2 linked regions of the Astyanax mexicanus genome follow. The protein of the gene in region 2 interacts with the protein of the main gene of each other region in a pairwise test. Links are inferred from orthologs where the notes say so. Each region holds a gene or a part of one and is shown on either strand. Other genes may lie near its edges.

Region 1 (7,135 bases), on a different chromosome or scaffold from region 2:
TTCTTTTTACAGGTCCACCCCAAAGGAAACTGTGGCTAACTGGACTCAGCAAAACCCTCAGCTTTAGCCTGGTATATTTGGCAGCTCACCCCTTACTGGAACAAAGTCAATCACACCTCAGGCTTTGAAATCTACCTCAGCTTGGCTGTGTTCATTCAGTTTCTGCCAATAGATTATCCCTCTACCTTTGTAAACGGTTAAAGGAACACGTTGCAGCTCTGCTGAAGTGAACATGGCCTGTGTTTTCTCCAAATTGCACTCATAAAGCAGCTATAATAAGCTGCATCCTTAACGCTGTTCAGATTTTAAAACTATCTGCAGCCTTTTCTCAAAACCTGCCATTTCCTTGCCTAGCCAACTCCTTCATTTAGCTTTGATGTACATTTGCCAACCTACAAAGCATTTGGGTGAGAGAGTGAAGAAAATGTCTAAAAACACAATTAAAGTGACTGAAACACTTTGGCTGAAGAGAAAACACCAATGGTTGAGGATTTATACACTCTGGAAAAGAGGCTACAAGCCATAAGTACAGTTATAACCAGAGACTGTAAAAAAGATGGACGCCGTGTCTCCGTTCCCATTCATTCAATGAAAATGAAGCCAAAATCTTCCGCCATGTTGGCGATCCTGCCACCTGATTCTGCGCAGTAGAGACTAGAGGAGGGAGAAAGACTGTGGATAGCAACCTACTCATTTAAATAACCCCGCCCCTGAGGGCTGCCTCGCGGTCACAGACCTTTTTTGAATAGAGCTGAATAAACTTTTAAAAACCGAATTCTGTGGGGATATAAAAATTTGACAATATAAGCAGAGGTTACACTAGCTGCTGCATTTAAATAATGGAGGTAGAATTACAGTATATTAGAAAAAACGTGATTGAATGTTGTCTGTTTTGCCATTGAAACCTATGGGGATGGGTGGATTTACACAGCTTTCTGCAGCCGAACAGCAGGGGGCGCCTGACCTGTGGTGGCTTCACTTTTAAGAGACGATGCTCTGTCCAGCTATATACAGTCTATGGTTATAACCATAACCTCTTTATCACTGACAGGCGATTTGTGGTCTACCAAAATGCAGAACAATTCTAAAGCCACAATTTTTGCTTTTCTGTTTAAGCCATAGTGTATAATTTAAGAAATAAATAAACAGTGTCCTTTCTAGAAATGTGTTTTCTCCTCATATTGAACTATGATTTGGCGTAATTTTTTATTTGGAATAATTTAAGGAGACAACTCCAACAAACAACTCACAATATTGTGAGACCCATGGTATATATATATATATATATATATATATATATATATATATATATATATATATATATATATATAAATATATAAATCATAATATTAAGATTGCTTTTGTATCAGCTAGTGCTACAACGGATAAAGCTATGGAGTTCTATAGTTAAGAGGCTATAAGACACTTCAGGTCGAGAATTTATTTGCTGTTTGCTTGAACTCTCACTGCTGGTTACTTCTAGTTGATTCTCTATTATCTTTAGGATTAGCTTTGGCTTGTTAACCTTACACAGTTGTTTTAATCTCTGTGGGCATTCTACTGAAGAGCCTATAAGAAGTAATGACAGTTATAACTGCTTCATCACTGATGGACTACCGATAAAAGTATCGTCTACCAATATAAAATTTAGTTTAATATTTAGGGTACAACACTAAATAAGGTTCCTTTTGGGTAACCCAATTGAACTTTGTGTTAAATTAACACAACAGTCTACTTATGCCAAGGAAAATGACTTGTAATGAATGATATTGTAATTTATGTCTATATATATTGGATAGGACTACAATGAATACAGTTGTTAAGAGCTTTAGTAAAGTGGCAATTAGTAGTAAAGACAGTTATAACCACCATAACACTGATGGACAATATATTGTCTATCCAAACACTATCCAAATACATAGTAATTATAACATGACAGCATTGTTTGTTATCTACTTTAGCATTATATGTTTCGCATTTAATTATATCCATTTATGCTGAATGGATATAAATAGAATTTTAGACTTATAAACAGAAGGACAGTTCAGTTATAATTGCACAAGGATAAAAGACAAAGATAAAGATAACTTAAACATTCCCTGATGTTGATAGATCAACTAGATAATGTTCTATATTACAAGTTTAAGCTTTATGAATATTTACATGACATTAGGCTGCAAATATTACTGATGCATTGCCCATCCAAAGACATAGTGATACTGATTTAATAAGAAATAAATTGACTTAAGACCTTACTCTACCAAATGCTCACAATTACAAAAATACACAGTTTTGCGTTTGTACAACACAGCATTCACTTGAATTATGAATTAATTAATTAAAACTTCAACCTAAACATCGCCTGATATCGTGATACCGCGGTATATCAAACATATCACGACATTGGGCTTTTTTTCCCTCGATATTTATCGACCAGCTCCACAATGCAAAATGTGCAGCACAGTTAACGTTAGGTTAGCTAACGTTAGTTTGGTGGCAAAGTCGCCAGTATGAGAAAACTTAACATAAAAATAAACGCATACACACTTTAAAAACACACTTTAACACTTATCAAACAAACTTTAAACGGTTTTAAGTTCTTTAAAATGTTAAAAAGTTAAAGTTTATGAGATTAAGTGGAGAAAGTTGAAGAAGAGAAAAGTTAACTCAGACCTGGCTGGCTTTGTAGAACTGCTTCTTCAAGCCCGCGACAGACATCTTCAGGCCGGGTTTTTCGACGAAAACAGCGCGATAAAGTGTTAAAGTGCTTTTAAACCGGTTTAATACAGTAAACAAACGCGAATTAATCGCTTAAAAGCTGAAAAAATTAAATTGTCTCCAGACTCCAGCGCCTCCACGGCACCAACACACCAAACGGTTTTAACCAGCCGAGCACGGAGAGCCCCACAGCCGCCGCTGCTGAACGGTTCCCCGGGATGAGAGCAGCTCTGCGGGTCTCTAAAAGCGGCCGGTGCGGGCGGAAAATGTCCCCTGGTCCTGGTTCAGTTTTATCCACTTTGTTTGTAACTCGAGTGTAGCTGCACTGAGAACAGCTAGCGGTCCCCACACACTCTCCCTCTCGCCACCGCTTCCTGCGCAACGCAGCACATTCCCCAACCCCACACACCGAGCTTTCAGCGACATCTGCCGGCCACTAGCGGTACTGCACCCAGAGCAGAGGCCGCTGCAGTTCCCCTGCTAACCTGAAGAGGGGGACAAATTATATGATATATTGGCCACGTGGCCTATTCTGGAGGTGCGTGCACATTTTAAGTAGGCTAATGAAAAGATTTGACTCCAGACTTGACATAAGTCAACAGTGTTGAATTAGTTAAATGAGAAATCCGATGTGAAATGAACTTGAAGTGAAGTGAAACATTAAAAAAAAGGTTAAAAATTTTGTCAAATAGCCCACCTCTGTTCACCCCCAGCATTTCGAAATACAGGAATATTAGCCGATGCTTCCAACAGGCAAAATTAAGTCTATGGAAATTTCCACAGAATTAATTTTGCAATCTAGTCCCTTATCCTACCATTTTTTTTACTTTAGACTTATCTTGACTTAATTTCAAGATGGCTGCACCTGGAAAACATTCTTTTTTCATAAACTATGCACTTTACATCTGTGCACTTTCAATGATCTCAGTGGCTGCGTCCAGAAACTTTTGCTACTCCTCCTCTCCTACTCCTCCTTTCCTACTCCTCCTCTCCTACCCCGGAAGAAGGTGGAGGAATCGAGGAGAGGAGAGGAGGAATGGAGGGAAGGGGATTGCAATTGGGGAAATGGGACAGCTGATCCCTTTTGGATATAATGTTGACTGCCGATGAACTGAGCCAATCACAACGCTTACTTTCAGCACATGTTTTGGAACATTACTATCACACACAGCTAAAAATTCAGATATTCCAATAAAATCCTGTTTACTCCCAGCCGCATTTTTGGCCACAGCCGCAGCCTTATGACCTCAGCCTTATGAGGGTTTCAGTTTCCTCATCTGTCCCTAAGTAAAAAAAAAAGAAAAAGAAAAAATAGATAAATTAAAATTATATATATATATATATATATATATATTATAAATAATATATGTATGTATATGTATAACATGGTACAAATAGGGTCTTTAATATAGTTTTACTGAACATACAACTAACATACAGCTTATCTAAACTATAAATTATATTACTGCTTTACTGACTGTTTTATTAGATAAAGAACCTAGTTAATTAATACATTTATGACATATATTTGTGCGTTGCCTTCTCCATGCTTTGTGGGCGTGGATGCAGTGATGTCATTAAAAAATCCTTAAAAGTCTTCCGGAGTAGGATGCTTTTATGTACCCTCCTTTGGAAGCCTTCTACATGAGGATTTTAAGCGGATTCTTTCGTCTCCTACGGTTTTCGGACAGGCGGCAAGATGGCGCCACAAAATCAGTTTTTCTCGGTCACGGAGGAGAGGAGGAGGATCGGTAGGAAAAAGGAGACACCTTTGGGGTTTCTGGACGCAGCCAGTGACTCATTTTAAATGTCAGGACCCTCACAATTCTACCAATGAAGGTGGGAGCTACTTTGAGCTGGTTATTTTTGTCATAATAGTGATTTATTTGCATGGGCGACACGTATGCCTCTATCATTAGCACTGTAAACCTGTTCCGATCATTGGCTAAAAGAAGAAAGAAAAAAAAAGATACATGGAGAGATACATAGATAGACAGACAGATCCAACGTATGTATGAAAATTACATTTTCCATAAGAAACAACATGCAATATACATATTTTTACACTTGGTAAAGGAAAAGTGCAGAACTGCGCCATCTGCTGGATGCTTTCAGCAACGACGTTTGAGATCTTTACTGTGGGGATAAATGATGGGCAGCCGAGTTTACAGTACGTTTACGAGCCCAGCTTGGAGTAAATTTATGTTTTAATGCACTGCATTTAAGCTGTAGAGGGTGTGTCTCTTTTTTCTTACAAATATGTTAAGCCATTGTGTTGATATTCTAATTATTTCTAGTGACACCCTGAGTTGTTACCCGCAAAATATATATATAAATATATATATAAATCATGTTTTGTATGTAATTTTAAATGTAGGAACTAAATTTAAAATAAGAGCCCAGACCCAGTTTAAAATATTGAATCAAAACAAAAATAATCGAATCGATTTAATTAATTGAGCAGCTTAAAAAATCTGCTTGTTGTAAAGGTCACATGGCTTCCTCTGTAAAATTAAAGTTCATAATTATATGTGATATATGAAATTTGATTAAATTGTTAAATCCCGGAACTTTAGAAGCAAGACATAAACGTTAATTAAATATGTATTATGTATTTCCTATATAGTAAAACTTGTTTGGTCCTTCCGATAAACATCTATTGTTATGATTATATAGATACAGTATAGCTAGTACAACAATATTAATGTAGCCAAAAAAAGATACATTTTGTACTTTTATCTCCTCATATAGGAGAATGTTTTCTACAATATTTTGATTCACTTAAAATTAGAGATTATTTTATTTATTGTTAATACTACCTAAATGACTGTAACCTGGACACACAGCCGAATGCACTTAATCCTAATGGCCACTGCAGTTTATCTGTTCACCGCATGAGGGCAGCATTCACTTAATTAACAGCTTTAATACAATCTTAGTGCCAAACATTATTACACAACTGACTCAAAACAAATGTTCATTTTATGTAAAAAGACTTTTATTACATTCTTTATCCATATACTGTTTTCCCAATGTCCAATTTACATTTCATCCTGTGTAACTTTTTAAATCTTCTTATTCATAATACATCATAAATTACATTTATTAAAATCTATGATTTAAAAAAAAAAACTCAGAATGAAAGGAAACACAGAAGGAATTGTGACAATTAACAACTCAGGAAATTCTGCTTCTCTTAAAAACGCTCTTAAAAAAATAGAATTACGGTTCTCCGTAATAAAGAGGTGGAGAACTCTAACTGTGTGAGGAACAGGACCAGCGACAGAGAGACAGATCACGAGAAAAAAAAAACACAGGATCTTATATATATATATATATATATTTATTATATTTATACTTTATCATAGTCTGAGATCCTATTTTCTTATATAGATGAGGTTGTGAAGTTCTGTGATGGTGCTGATAATCAGATGGGAGAACATTTAATGGAGAACACTGAGGAGAACAGTTAGCAACACACATGGCATGTATCTCTGCTAATGGGTGAGAGGTGTTAGCCTGCTAGGCTAACTGAAGAAGACAATACAACAATTATAGGACCGAGAGCCCAGCCAACTCCCTGAGTGAATGTGTGTGTTTGTGTGTGTGTGTGTGTGTGTGTGTGTGTGAAAATGAGTCTTCACACCCCAAAAACCCACAAATGAAGTTAACATTTATAGGTGAGGTAAATTCAATTTAATTTAATATTGTAGGACTAGGCCTGTCCCAAAAAATAAATTTTCGGCATATCATTCAATTTATGGACATAACCTTTAATATTGCATTTTTATACTATTATCGTTATATCAGTTGCATAAAATGTCTTAAAATTACAATAATTCTAGTTTTCAATTAATTCTCAGCAATTATCAGCACAGGCATATGTAGGACTCTTTAGAAGGAAATTTCACTATTTAAACTTTTAGAATAAATTAAGATAAATCTGTTATTAACTGTAATTATCTTAGTTAGAGTGAGTTTGGTGTGAGACGCTCCATTTAAAGAAACACACCCACTTTAAATAGTTTGAAGTAGGTTGTTTTAAAGAGCCACTAAAGCCATAACCATATTTTGTTCCATTAATAGCTAAATTGTGTTACTTTAAAGTAATGAAACCCACCAGTTCTGCTTAAAATTTTTATAAACATAAAAATAAATGCTTTTATTGTGGTAATTTCTGCCTCTGCGGCGCCCTCTCAGGTTCAACTGTGCTATAGGCGAGGATGATGTGTCTGCGTACTTTGGTACGCTGACACATCACAATATGCAGTTCAGTCGCTTAATAATACCGCCCTCTGCTGACGTCCAACCATCCAGGTCTTACCACTATCAGCCAATCAGCTCTTCCTCCTGCCCCGCCTCTAAACCCATACATCACCCAGTGCCCGTCCCATTTTTTTGCCTTTTTCAAATTTGA
Region 2 (6,984 bases):
TAGGGGCTGAATGGTGTGTATATAGGTAGGAGAAATAGGCTTGGGCAAATATGTAACTAGTTATTAGATGCAGGAATTTTTCCTGTATTAATTTACTAGTAACAGAATGGCAACAGACTGTGCAATTCCTTAAGGTTTCTTAGGTCTGGTAAAATAAAATTAATATATTAAATCCACATTAATATATAGAATATGTCTACATTATATTACTATACTGTAGTGTCACCAGGGGTGGAATAACGAGGCCAAACGATAGTCCTATTTTTTTAGTATGATAGTTCTTTTTAAACAGCGATTCATCAGTGAAGACCCTTTTTCTCTCTCTAACCAAACATCAGAGTTGCTAACGTGTGCTTACAGCATGCTTACGCGGTGACTCTGGTCCGCTCGCGGGGGTCGCTAACCCAGTGTTAGCATAGCAGCATGCTAAGACACTGACTCTAGTCCGCTCATGGGGGATGCTAACTAACGTGGTGTTTCCATAACAGCATGCTAACGTGGTTACTTTGGTCCGCTCATGGGGGTTGTTAACACTACTTTCTACTTCCTGCTACTACTAGCTACTTCCAAGAAATGGCTGTAAGCCAACACAGTTCATTGTAGCCACGTGTTTCTAAAAAAAAAAAAATCAAAATACAAAGATTCCTCACAACTCTTACCCATGCAGTTTTTTTTTATGAGACGGTATAGCTAGCCACCAGTTTAAAGGGGTATTATATCGGCGGTTTAATACTTGCCTATTTCCAAGAAATGGGTGTAAACTGTTTTATAAACATAATATATGAAATACAGTTGCCTCACGATTAAAATAAACAGTGACTGTGCTCGTTCCGTGTAATCCTTCTGTAGGACTTTGCATGATATTTTCTTCAGTATCTTGTAAAATGTGGGATCTTACAATATTTTTTTAGGTGTGCTTAGTCATGTCATGTTGACTTTACTTACAAATTTCTAAACAAAATAAACACAAATTTCGGGCTTTACTTGCTGTTTTAATTAAGCAAAGGGGAAAATCCTATAATTTTAAGTCTTTTCATTATAATGAGCAAAGATTTCTGGGCTTAAGTCTTGTTAACTTTACTTAAATGTATAAACAATAACTTAACCCATTATTAGGGATTTGGGGTTGGGTTATATGCCCAATAACTTCAACAAAGAAGAAAGAGGGCAACTACTAAATGTGCTGGGAGCTCCTTGAAAGCTCCTAAATCCTCACAACTCCAATGCCAACACTGCCACAATATTAGTACAGTAATATGGTTCTCTCTAAATGAAGAATAATAATTTATGTTCATTAGGTTAGCATTAGCAGTTTCCCACAGCTTTTGCATATTAACTGATTCTGTAGGTTTATTGATTTAAGAACATGACATTTTGCACAATTTTCTGTCATACCATCTATAATGAGGCTACATTATAGAAGGATAAGAGTGGAAAGTAAATGATTAACTGATTTATTCATTTACTATTTCACTCATAGGTTCCTTCATTTATATTACATTATGTGTCACAGTCTAAATGTCTGTCTTGATAAGATCAGGGCTGATAAAACTCTGATAGAGGACTTCATATCAATCAACAAAAGCAGTGTATTTATTCACATTCACTGTTTGCCCTTTAAAGATTAATACCTCTTTCTTTGATATGCACACTCACACATACTTCAAAAGTATTTTAAAACATTCCACTCAGATGAGAGTAAAGTACATGTTCCAGATATTAATTTAAGGGTATTTACATGCATCACAATTTTACCATGTTGAAATTAAAAATAAAATGTTGTAGCCCAAATTTAGGGCAATACAGCTCTGGGGGAAAACTTAGAGACAACGTCAGTTTCTGAATCAGTTTCTCTGATTTTGTTGTTTTATTCTATAAACTACAGACAACATTTCAAAATAAAAAATATTCTCATTAAGAGCATTAATTTGCAGAAAATGAGAAATGGCTGAAATAATAAAAAAATGCAGAGCTTTCAAACTTCAAATAATGTAAAGAAAACAAGTTTTTATTCATAAAGTTTAAGAGTTCAGAAATCAATATTTCGTGGAATAACCCTGAGTTTTAATCACAGTTTTCATGCATCTTGGCATGTTCTCCTGCACCAGTCTTACACGCTGCTTTTGGATAATTTTATGTCACTCCTGGTGCAAACATTCAAGCAGTTCATCTTGGTTTGATGGCTGTGATCATCCATCTTCCTCTTGATTATATTCCAGAGGTTTTCAATTTGGTAAAATGAAACAAACTCATCATTTTTAAGTGGTCTCTTATTTTTTTCTATAGCTGTATAATGTTAGGAAATCTGCAGTAATATATACATGAGAGCAGTCATGTTAAGTAAGTTTTTGACAATCTTTTCACTGACTGACGGAGGTCTGCAGTTTACAGAGATTTTCATCAAGCCTACAATGCAGCCATCTTTTACTCTTGCTTGTTTCTGGTCCTTTTTTCCTCAGTTGTCTGCTCAGTAAATGGAAAACATAATCAATTTAATTTAAATCAGGTTTAAACTGGTTAAAACAGCTTTAATTTTTATTTTGAGGAACTCCTTTAATGTCTTAGCAGTAGATGCGTCAAGTAACGAGGTACAAATACTTTGTTATCTTACTTAAGTAGAAATGGTTATCTATACATTTCCAACTCCGCTTTGGTTTATACTGTGATCCATCACACCTTAATGTCACGTCTTACTCCAGCAAGAACATAGCAGAGGTATGTAGCCTAGTATGAAGATGATCCGTGCAGAGACTCAAGAGAACTTAAGCAAAATGTCTCAACTAGGCTTCTTTAGTATAATTGAATATTTGAATAAAATGAATTCATTTTCAATGAGCCTAGTACATCCCTGCATTAACATTTTAATATAACATTTTAGAAAAAATAGGCTCCTGAGGTACAGCCTAAGCTTATGTTCTTAATGCCATTTTCCCCTTACTTTACTTTTACTTTTATACTTTAAGTAAATTTGAAACCTGTACTTTTACACTTTTACTTTAATTTCTGCAGAAGTATTTTAACCCCTGTTATATACACTTCTATCTGAGAAATGAATGTGAAGACTCTTAACAAAGTTGCTCTTCAGTATGTTTGGGATGATTATTTAGCTGCAGGATTAAGCACCGCCCAGTAAATTTGGAGACTTTTGTTAGAAATTGAGTCAAGTGTCAGTGCGCTACTGCCATCAGTGAAGATAAGTGCACCAGCATCTGTGGCAGCCGTGCAAAGCTTCAGTATGTCTTGACACCCACACCTTCATGGTTCACAGATAAGGTGGTATACCTTACAGCTGATTGGCAGCTCCACTTCCAACACATCAACTTTGAGAACTGACTGTTCACTTCCTGCCTAATAAATTCCAGCTCTTGACAGGTGCAATTATGATGGGATAATCAATGTTATTCACTGATTCACTCGTGTGGTTTTGTGTGTGTGTGTGTGCTGTTTAAAGGGTCACTGACACATGGGTAGGTGTATCTAGGCAATCAATAATTACCCTACACTGCAACTGGCAAATTTCCAAATTTCCGTAACCTAGATTAAAACAGAGCAACACAGTATCTGCCTTTTCTGTTCTAGACATTTTAAACATAAGCCACAGATCACTAAATCTCTAACAAGCCAAAAGCACTGGTGTAAAATTCCTTCATGAGCCAATAAGCAGCGCACTTACAATATCAGCAAACATCTATAGAAGCCTCTATGTACATAACCTTGGCTTAGCAGGCCAAACTTTTAATTTGATTTATGAAACAACCTTCATCATCACACTAACAGAGACTTATATATAAATATATATATATATATATATATATATATATATATATATATATAACCTCCATCCACTCTTTATCTCCTTGGAATGCCATAACCTAATATTTACCCAGGAGCAGTGTCCCCAAAGCTTTTTGGTTAATTATTAACTCGTGGTGACATTGCCAGGCTGCTGGTTAAACAACAGAAGAAAAAAAAAAAAAAGACAGAAAGAAAAGAGAGGAGATCAAATAAAACAACGATTTTTTTTATGGACTGAAGATGTGAAAGGCTAAGCAAGAAAGTGACAGGGAGGCACTGCAGATAGCTGCTCTGAGATGGCGGTTTGTCCTCAGCGGTCTTCAGCCATGAATGGGAGTGGCTGCACACCTGTCGGACCGGTTCGCGACACATGACTCCCAGGGACTTACACACTTCAACACACTCGTTCTCTGGAAAGCCTTTGAGCCTCTGAGAGAGATGGCTGAAGCCACGAACCCGGCCGCTACCTCTTTCCCAACGCCCACTATATCCTTACCGCTCGGGCTGGACGTTTTGAGAACGTACTCGGGGGCTCTGATATGCTTGGAGATCGTAAGTGTGTGTTAAATTTTAAATCTTGTGTAATGTTTGCATGTTTTTGATCAGTGTAAAATAGTCATGCTGAAGAAATGCCTGAATAGAAAAGAGCAGAATTGCTGAGCAATACTTAATAAAGTATATAAATGTTGCTTGTGGCACTACTATGGATTATTAAGAATGATTGATTAAGAATGGCTTTAGAGTAGCAAACACAACCTAAACCATTAATGCACCTAATTCATAATCAAATAGACTCAGATTGAGCAGTGATTTCATGCTGTGCAACTCTTTACTAAGTCATTTCAGGTTGAAGTGTGTATTTCAGGACACATCTCAACTTTTACACAGTGATTTCTTCTGATGGATGAATAGGCCTCTGATCAGATTACTAATAGAACATTTTGTACCTCTCCTGTTCCCTCCTGCTAGGTTTTCGGCGGGTTAGTATGGATCTTAGTGGCATCGTCCAATGTCCCCGTGCCTCTTCTGCAGGGCTGGGTGATGTTTGTGTCCGTAACCATGTTTGTGTGCTCCTCCGTGTACCTCGCCCTGTTTCTGCTGGGCTTTGCTGATAAAATCAACGCAGACTGGAATTTCATGGTGAGTATCTTTAACTCCTTCCTACATGGAGTGTTCATTTCCCTACTATACTGTTGGACACTGCTGGACTCCAGCTTACCTGACACAGAGAGGTGTCAGGTAACAAAATACAAATACTTTGTTACCTTACTTAAGTAGAAATGTTGATTATCTATACTTTACTGGAATAGTTATGTTTTTACTTCTTACATGTTTACACAATAATCTGAATTTTCTTCTCCTTACTTTTTAAATATAGCCTTGTTACTCTATTTAATTTCAGCTTGTTTTAATTCTGGCTTCTCATTGATAAAAAAAAAAAACCTTATCCAGATAAATCTCTTTATATTTAAAGACAGATACAGTGAATTTTATTGTGATTGGATGAGAAGAATAAACATATACCATTCCAACACTATTGGTTTATACACGATCCAGCACACCTACACACGTCACACCGTCACACTCCAGTAAGAACATAGCAGACGTATGTAGCTTAGTATGAAGATGATCCATGCCGAGACTCAAGAGAACTCGAGACAAATGTCCCAACTAAGCTTCTTCAATATATTTACATTGTACTAAAATACATTTATTTTCAGTGGGCAAATATGCAGATGAAAAAGTGAGCCTAGTGCATCCTAAAAATGTTAATATAACATTATACTCATTATGGATTTTAGATAAATGCTTCTGAAGGGGTGGGTAGTGCAAAAAATGCCCCTAAGGCATGGCCTAATCTTTCTGTTCTGTTAATCTGTTCTTAATGCCATTTTTTTAATTCTATTTTAAAACTCTAGTATCTATACTTCTACCAGAGTAATGAATGTGAATACTTTTCATACCTTTTGCAGGAAACATTATAAGGAAGTTTAGCAATGTTTTGAAAAGGTTCCAGAAAGGTTAGCCTGTAATGTCACAGAAATAATGTTCCAGGAACATTCTGAAAACATGAGACATGATAATGGTTTGCATTACAACATTTTTAGAACTTTCTTTATAACATTCCCAGTTAGATAAATATTAACATTATGGAAACTTTAAAAGTAACATTCTCAAAACTAACAAATTAAAACACTGACACAAGTGACAGTGCAGCAATGTTAATTAAAATGATGTTCTAATGATGTTAATTGTAACATTTAGAAAACATTCTACCAACCAATCATTGATATTTGGAATTCAATATTTAATATATGTACACAATAAACCATTACTACTATAGTACTATAGGCTTTCTAAGAAAGGAACTTCTAAATAGAGTATCACAGAAACACACCAGTCCAATAACATTGTGACGAATACCCATGATGGCACAGTTACTTGGAACTCATTCAAAACTGAGCAAACAAAAACTGATTCCCATTCAGTTAGCATGCTGTTGGCTGGGTTCCTTAAATCTGACAAAGAGCTCCGTCTGCAGTGAAACTAGAGTGGAAGTGGCCAAAAGGCGTGCCAGTCCTCAGTCCTGGCCCGGGTTCCAGCCCTGCTGCTGAGTAATGTCTGCTTTATGAGCATGATTAATGGTCACAGCTTAACAGTCCTGCACATATCTGTGTGTAACATGTCCTTCACATTATACTCATATTCCTTAATAATTAATTGCTGCAGAGATAAAGCACAGATTATTGCTGATATCCTGTTAATTAATTGCATTAATACAGAGTTGAGTTTTAATACACTGCCTGGCCACAAAAAAAGGTCACACTCTTTAATATTTCGTTGGACCGCCTTACGCTTTGATTGTGTCACACATTCACTATGGCATTGTTTCAATAAGCTTCTGCGATGTCACAAGATTTACTTCAATCCAGTGTTGCATTTTTTTTGCAATCATTTTTCACCAAAATCTTGCAGCATTGATAATGGTAGAGTCTGACTTCTGAACAAAGCCTTTTCCAGCACATCCCAAAGATTCTCAATAAAGTTTAGGTCTGGACTCTGTGGTGAACTCTCAATCCATGTGTGTAAATGATGATCTCATGCTCCCTGATTCACAATTCACAATTTCACAATTCCAGTCCCATGAATCCTGACATTTTGTCAGTATATTTTTATTGTTATCCTAAA

Evidence for each region.
Region 1: the proteins of mal2 (region 2) and sh3gl1b interact in binary tests that used the Homo sapiens proteins (3 or more experiments, as listed by UniProt). The two-hybrid records come from large-scale screens. The link is inferred for Astyanax mexicanus from reciprocal best matches to the Homo sapiens genes MAL2 and SH3GL1.

What each region holds. Positions count from the first base shown.
Region 1 is NC_064419.1:7,483,744-7,490,878, forward strand, and holds the start of sh3gl1b (SH3-domain GRB2-like 1b), read right to left. Parts: upstream 3,102-7,135; 5' UTR 2,719-3,101; coding exon 2,674-2,718; intron 1-2,673. UniProt on the Homo sapiens protein: Implicated in endocytosis. May recruit other proteins to membranes with high curvature.
Region 2 is NC_064413.1:15,461,921-15,468,904, forward strand, and holds the start of mal2 (protein MAL2), read left to right. Parts: upstream 1-3,982; 5' UTR 3,983-4,125; coding exon 4,126-4,347; intron 4,348-4,764; coding exon 4,765-4,935; intron 4,936-6,984. UniProt on the Homo sapiens protein: Member of the machinery of polarized transport. Required for the indirect transcytotic route at the step of the egress of the transcytosing cargo from perinuclear endosomes in order for it to travel to the apical surface via a raft-dependent pathway.